Linked DNA regions of Mus musculus. The protein of the gene in region 1 interacts with the protein of each later gene in a pairwise test. Links are inferred from orthologs where the notes say so. Each region holds a gene or a part of one and is shown in the gene's direction. Other genes may lie near its edges. The genes, in order: Mrfap1 and Brk1.

The links.
Region 2: the proteins of Mrfap1 (region 1) and Brk1 interact in binary tests that used the Homo sapiens proteins (3 or more experiments, as listed by UniProt). The link is inferred for Mus musculus from reciprocal best matches to the Homo sapiens genes MRFAP1 and BRK1.

The regions. Positions count from the first base shown.
Region 1 is NC_000071.6:36,794,255-36,797,851, reverse strand, and holds Mrfap1 (MORF4 family-associated protein 1), read left to right. Parts: upstream 1-1,097; 5' UTR 1,098-1,258; coding exon 1,259-1,636; 3' UTR 1,637-1,649; intron 1,650-1,907; 3' UTR 1,908-2,985; downstream 2,986-3,597.
Region 2 is NC_000072.6:113,603,366-113,607,274, forward strand, and holds the start of Brk1 (protein BRICK1), read left to right. Parts: upstream 1-1,406; 5' UTR 1,407-1,413; coding exon 1,414-1,531; intron 1,532-3,909. UniProt on the Homo sapiens protein: Involved in regulation of actin and microtubule organization. Part of a WAVE complex that activates the Arp2/3 complex. As component of the WAVE1 complex, required for BDNF-NTRK2 endocytic trafficking and signaling from early endosomes.

The DNA.
Region 1 (3,597 bases):
TGCAGTCTAAGTATCCTGATGCAGTGTGCAACAGTATCCCATTGTCCTCTGAACCATTTGCTTATTCATGTTCTTACCCTGGATTATTTTTAAACAAAAGCCACTGAGTGTAGAGTCCAATTAAAGATATGCACTTTATATATGCCTATGGTTGGTTTTTGCAAAATGGTTTCACGACTTGTGGTTAGAAAACCAGTGAGATACATAGTTTAGATTCCTGAGAAAGTACTGTCTGATCGTAGACTAAGAATTCGGCATCTCCCCTTAAAGTTCAGTGTTGGTTGAGTAACAGTTACGCAAATGTAGTCGTCTGAGCCAACTTCTGTCCTTTCCACAGCAAGTGATCACCAACTGAATGTGACCTGGGGCCTCAGAAAGCATCAGACAATAGTTTCACCTTAGGAAGCCAGGAGCTCTGTCAGGTAAAAACACACCCAGCCACTCCGTCAATCAAGATATGATAATTCACTTAAACTAACCAAAGGGGCGGAGCTATGAGCAGGATGACTGTCCACACATGGCTTTCCAAGATTCCTCTTTCCCCAGTTTCGAAAAACTGTTTTTGTTGTTGTTGTTGTTGTTTGTTTGGTGGTTTTGATTTGTTTTGAAACAGGGTCTATGTACTGAACTCACTATGTACACCAGGATGACCTCAAACTCAAGGATCGGTCTGCCTGCCGCCTCTACCTCCCAGGTGCTGGAATTAAAGGCGGGCTCTTTTTCTTTTTTAAAAGTAAACTTGTCGGGTGCGGTGGCTCACACCTGCGACACGGGAAGCTACGGCAAGAGGACTGCCTAGAGTTCAAGATCAGTTTAAGCCAAATAATTGAGTTCCAGGCCAGCCTTGGCTACAGCGTGAGGTCCTGTTTCAAAAAGTAAATAAATAAAATCGGAATAAGATACAGGAAGGGACGAACTTCGCATCACCCAGAGCAGCTGCAAAAGCTGCGAAAGGGAGGCCGACCTAATGTCAGCGCGCGGCCGCAGAGGCGCTCGCCCCGCCCCTTCGTGGACGCGAGCGCGCCCGCCCCTTTCAGCGCGGCCGTAAAGAGGGGGCGCGGAGGTGTCGTGAAAGGGGTCGCAAAGCGCCGAGCGCTGGTTGACGGTTGAGACTCCATTTTGTTCGTCGCTCGCCCGCTCGGCAGTCACTCGTCTCCGTGGCTTCTCCGAGGCGGAAAGTTGGACCGGCGGCGGAAGTTTTGAGGACTCGGCCCGAGCTCCGTCCGTGAGGGTCGTGCAGACGAGCAGAGCAGCGGCGATGCGGCCCCTGGACGCGGTGGAGCTGGCGGAGCCCGAGGAGGTGGAGGTGCTGGAGCCCGAGGAGGACTTCGAGCAGTTTCTGCTGCCCGTCATCCACGAGATGCGCGAGGACATCGCGTCGCTGACGCGCGAGCGCGGGCGCGCGCCGGCGCGCAACCGGGGCAAGCTGTGGGAGATGGACAATATGCTGATCCAGATCAAGACGCAGGTCGAGGCCTCCGAGGAGAGCGCCCTCAACCACCTGCAGGGTGCCGGCGGCGCCGAGCCCCGCGGCCCCCGGGCGGAGAAGGCCGACGAGAAGGCGCAGGAGATGGCGAAGATGGCCGAGATGCTGGTGCAGCTCGTGCGGCGGATAGAGAAGAGCGAGTCTTCGTGAGGAGCCGGCCGCGGTAAGGGCGGGAGCCTGGCGGGGCGTGGGCGACGGTGGGGGAGGAGGCTGGCTTGTCGCCTCGGGAGTAAACTAGGCCCCCCCTGGGGAAGGAGTAATAGCAAATCGTCGGCGGGGAGACCGTGGAAGTTTCCAGATGGTGCTGGAGAGCATGGGGCCCTAAGTGAGACAGCGTCCAGAAGGGGGCCGGGTATTTGCTTTGCTGTCCGGACAGCGTGATTAACCTCTCGGTGATGAATCTCTCCCGCCCGTGCCTTAGGTTTCCAGCCAATGGATTCTGGTTGAGTGATGGCGATTGGCTGACATGACACCCTGGAGAAGCTGAAACCAGAGAGCCTTTTGTTTTCCTTTTTTTTTTTTTTTATCTCCTTCTTATTTTTTTTTCTTTTCCCCTCTGTCTTCCCTCTGTTTCTCACTGACACTACGTTTCTGCTATGGTCTGCGGTTGACGACCTCGATATGAGTTTTTGATTATTCGGTGGTTCCTTTTTTTTGTTTGTTTGGGGGAAATAACTTTGATTTGGAAAATGCGCTCACATACGGGAATTAGGGCCTAGATTGTAAGCCCTGTGGCAGTTGAATAACGTTCATTCCTGGCCTTTGGTTGTTGTTCCTAAATTTTGAGGTGCTTTGCTCTTTCTTGGGTGACCTGATAGCTCCCTGAACTTTGAATCTCTGTGACACTTGAGACTCAGAGTTGAAGCTCACCGCCTCTGAAAGTTCTGAAGGAGCTGTGTTAATTCTCGAAGACTCCATGCAGCAATGGCAGAAGAGACCAGACTTCATCCGGGACAGTGGATGGGCCTTACATGGCTAGGACTGATGACCTGGGAGAAGGGTCGGAGGATAGTATTGTTTCTATTGGGGGACTTTAATTTCTGTGTGAGACCAAAGGAGGAGAGATGTATTTTGTGCAAAATTTAAATTTTATGTGCTACACTATCTATTGTAACCTGCCTGGTGAGTTTGTTGGGACAGCCTAACTCATTTCTAAAAGAAATGGAACCTCGGATGGGAGAAGAGGTCTTGTTAGTCTGTACAAGTTGGTATCCCCATATATTCGAGGAGATCCTGGCCATAAAATGAAAGATCCTTGCAATACCCTGTGTGGCCTAGGAAGGAAAACCTGCAATGGACCCAAAACTTAAAAGAAGAGGCGTCTTAAAGGTTCATATGTAGTCGAACTATAAATGTATGAGTGGCAGACCTGATAAGCGTTTGAGGTCAAAACCCTTACCATGTTGAAAACAAAATCTTACATGTTAATAAAAGTATTCGTTTGCTTGAAAAGATCAGCCCGGAGAGTTACTAAGAAATATTAAGTGAAGTCTTCCTTCAGTGGCCTGTGTTTAGTTTAAATGAACATTCTCCAGTTTTGGGAGTCTGGGTAAGCAGAAGGGGATTTCGACTGCTGTAGGAAACGTGAGAATAGGAAAGTCTTGATTCCTAGTAGCAAGTCCACAGTCTTAGCCTCTGAGACCAGTCCTTTTACTTGCCTTTTACTTGACTCCTGTTCTTTACCAGTCTTGATGATACAACAGCAACAATGTATTGACTCCCTTCAGACAAGAAGGGCTGGGTCCCCAACTGCTGGGATTGACCCTGTGTGGCCATCATCTCATTCCTAGGTGGCCAAAGTCTAGGGCCCTCCCTTTTAAGGACACCCCACCCTAGACATCTTAGAATTCTTGTGTCTGCTGAGGGAACTGCAGCCCAGCCTAACTTCTGACTGCTCTGCATGTTCCTATCCGGGAGTGACCATTGAACCTCACGTGTATGGTTCCTTCTTGGTACTGCTGAGGCACCAGCTTCTGGGCTCTTAACAGATGCAATTGCCTTAGAACATGGCAGGGGTAAGGAAGGCTTTCCAGAGTGTTGTTTTGATAAGCTTGGCCTTGGATGAGCACAACCTCAGAAGTCAGGAAGAATGGGATAGGCCAGGCACAGGG
Region 2 (3,909 bases), on another chromosome or scaffold:
TGTATTTGGCAGCTTGGCGTGGTGGCGCATGCCAGCACTCGGGAGGCAGAGACAGGCGGATATCTGAGTTCGAGGCCAGCCTGGTCTACAAAGTGAGTTCTAGGACAGCCAGGGCTACACAGACAAACCCTGATTTGGAAAAAGAAAGAAAGAAAGAAAGAAAGAAAGAAAGAAAGAAAGAAAGAAAGAAAGAAAGAAAGAAAGAAAGAAAGAAAGAAAGAAAGAAAGAGAGAAAGAAAGAGAGAGAGAAAGAGAGAGAGAAAGAGAGAGAGAGAGAGAGAAAGAGAGAGAAAGAGAGAGAAAGAGAGAGAAAGAGAGAGAAAGAGAGAGAAAGAGAGAGAAAGAGAGAGAAAGAGAGAGAAAGAGAGAGAAAGAGAGAGAAAGAGAGAGAAAGAGAGAGAAAGAGAGAGAAAGAGAGAGAAAGAGAGAGAAAGAGAGAGAAAGAGAGAGAAAGAGAGAAAGAGAGAGAAAGAGAGAGAAAGAGAGAGAGAAAGAGAGAGAAAGAGAGAGAAAGAGAGAAAGAGAGAGAAAGAGAGAGAAAGAGAGAGAAAGAGAGAGAAAGAGAGAGAAAGAGAGAGAAAGAGAGAGAAAGAGAGAGAAAGAGAGAGAAAGAGAGAGAAGAGAAAGAAAGAAAGAAAAGTATTTTGCTCATTTGGTAAATATGGAGATTCAGAGTTGGTGGGACACCTCGAACAATAAAGACACTGAAGCTGATGATCTGAGTGTTCAGTCCCACAAGATGGAAGGTGAGGAACCCACTCCTGCAAGTTGTCCTGTAACTTCCGCCCGCGTGTTGTGCCACGTAAGCGCTCACATATAATACGAATAAAATAATTTTAACCTGGCGGTGGTGGCCACATTTTTAATCTCAGCACTCCGGAGGGAAAGGCAGGCTGATCTCTGTGAGTTCGAGGCCAGCCTGGTCTACAGAGGGAGTACAAGGACAGCCAAGACTACACAGAGAGACCCTGTCTCGAAAAACAACAACAACAACAAATTTTAAAAGAAAACGAGAATGAACAGAGTTGTGACCCAAGCATGACAAGCATTCTGAATAAACGGGATTCGTGGACTGTGCCCATCACAGCTAACAAGGTGCAAGAGAGCTTGGAGCAACCCTTAGGCGGAGGTGGGAATGTGTGGGCGCCCCCTAACGACAAGATCCGCTAGTGGTCAGCGGGTGCTTGTAACCGGGGACAGGGTAGCTCTTAGTCTTCACATCGCGAGTGGAGGAATCTTGTTTACCCCAGCGTGGGAGCCAAGCTAGAGCGCAGGGATTAGAGTGCGCACGCGCGTCGCTCTGCCAGCCCTTTCTGGGGCTCGAACACTCGGGTACTGGCTGGCGGCGCAGGCGCGCTGGAGGCCTGTAGAGGTCGCGGCGCCTGCGCAGTCACTCTTCCTCAGGCGGCCGCCATGGCGGGACAAGAGGATCCGGTGCAGCGGGAGATTCACCAGGACTGGGCGAACCGGGAGTACATTGAGATCATCACCAGCAGCATCAAGAAAATCTCAGACTTTCTCAACTCTTTCGGTCAGCGGGCGAGCAGGGGAGGCTGGGAGGAGGGAGGCCTGGGAGGCGGCCGGCGGCGGGGAGGAGAGGCGCGCCGCCCTGGCTACTCGCTTCCTCTTTGGCTGCCCGCCGGCCCCAGTGCCCTCACCCCGAGCCTCACTGGGCCGTTTCCGAGGGTCTACCCTGCCCGTTGCCATGCCCCACTTGCGCTCGTCAGCACGCCCACTGTCCAGCCTCTTAGGCCCATCCATCATCCGCCCCGGTTTGCGCCGCGCTTCCGTGCCAGTCTTCACTTGGCAGGCAGTGCGCAGCCGTGTCACGGTCACGGTCGCGCTTACTGTTGAGAGACTCCTGCTCGTTGTCCATCTCCTTCAGGAAGAAGTCCGAACCCCTTTGATGTCATGCCTTCTATTGCTCCCGTTTAACCACTCCCGGCAGGTTCATTCATCCCCGGCTCGATTTGGTGCTAGTGCTGAGGGTTGTAAGGGATGGGGCCCGCTCGGGCCTTGGGAATGGCTTTTCTAGCCCTGTATCTGCTTCATGGTAGGTGCTCTGGATGCTTCTGTCTGGCTCCTCGGATTTTACAGGGCAGATGGTTTCAGCAGAGTCCACTTTTCCAAAAAACTATTCCTAGGTGTGGCCGGCTAGTGACAGTCTTGATTTCTTTCTGCGTGCGTTCCTAGCCTTCTGGACTGAAAACCTGTTACAGACTTCTTATGGTCTCCGGAAGGGTTCTTTCAGGGACCTTCTTACACAATACAAGACGTGCAGATGGCATCCAGTGATCTTTTTCACTAGAGTGCTTTGGTTCTACTAATTAGCAACTTTCAGCATCTTGGGGAGAAAGTGCTGTATTTTGAAAAAAATTAAAGTGAATCGTATATTTTCTAGCTAAAGACCCGATGAGTCCTAAGTAGTATGATAGAAGGTAACCGAACAGTAGCTTCAATTACGGGGTGTAGTTCAGGGATTGGGCTCCTGAGTGGTAAGCACAAGACCCCGGCATCCCCCACTTCTTAGAGTTTTCTTTCTCTCTCTCCTTTTTTTTCCTCCTTTTTTTGTGTTTTGTTTTGTTTTTTGGTTGGTTGGGGGTTTTTTGTTTTGTTTTGTTTTTGTTTTTTGAGAAAAGAGAACAAAAAGGAAATTGGAAATGCATCATTAAGGGGCAGGGGATGCCTAGTCTGTAGAGTATTGGCCTAGCACCCACACACCATGCCTTTAATAGCAGCACTCAGGATGCAGAGGCAGGAGGACCAGGAGGAACTCCCAAGTCATCTGCTTCATAGAGAGTTTTGAGTCCAGCCTGGTAGAGCAAAGCAAACATCAGCAGGCGTAATTGGTTCTTACACAGGTCTGCTGGCAGTGAGGAACATGGTAACCCTTCCCTGTTATATGTGGTGGCTCATACCTGTACTCTTAGCACTGGAGAGACAAGGGCTGGAAGAGTGCTATGCATTTGAGGCCAGCCTGGTCCTCAGAACAGCCACAGAAATGAGCCATTTTCTAGGGCTCGAGAGATTGCTCAGCTGTTAAAAGCAGTTCCAAAGAACCCAGGTACAAATCCCAGGACCCACGTTGCAGTTCACAGTGGTCCATAGCTCTAGTCCCAGGGGATATGACACACACACATAAAGGGAGACTATCAGTGTAAATAATAATACTAATCCATTTTCTGTATGTAGAGTTCTTTCAGGCTGTTGAGATGGCTTGGCAGGTAAAGGCCACCAACCTGAATACAATCCTCAGGGTCCACAAGGTGAAAGGAGAGAACCAGCTGTCACAAGTTGTCTTCTGGCCCCACATAGTGCATGCCCACACCCACCTTCAAATACAATAAATAAGAGATCTTAATCTGTCCATCCATGCTCCATGTCCCCTACTCCATTTTGCATTTTGGTTTTGAGTCTTGTAAATTGGTACAACTCATGGTTCTCCTTCCTCAACTATTTTTTCCCTCCCCCTCCTGAGATTATTACTGTCTGTCGCTCTGTGCTGGCCTGCAGCTCTACAGATCAGGATGTCCTCTAGTTTGTGATGGCCCTTTGGCTCTGCTTCCCAAGTGCTGGATTAGAAGTGTCCTTACGCACCCTCACGAATTCTCTCTCTCCCCCACCCTTCTCTCTCTGCCGCCACCTTCCTTGCCCCCCCCCCCAATAAACCTCTTACACGTGGGGAAAAAGAAGTATGCTCACAAAGTGTGTAGGATTCTGTATAATCTTACATGGATTTTCTTAACAGGGAGCGGAGGTTAAAGATACCAACTAATGAGAGGCCAGCATAAATGTATATGTCAGTGGTACAGCTTCACGCCCGTAAGTTTCTGTGGAGGTTATAGTAGAGAACTGTAGTCAGTAAAGAGTTCATGTGTCCCCAGAAGAATTAGATTTAAGGAGTATTAA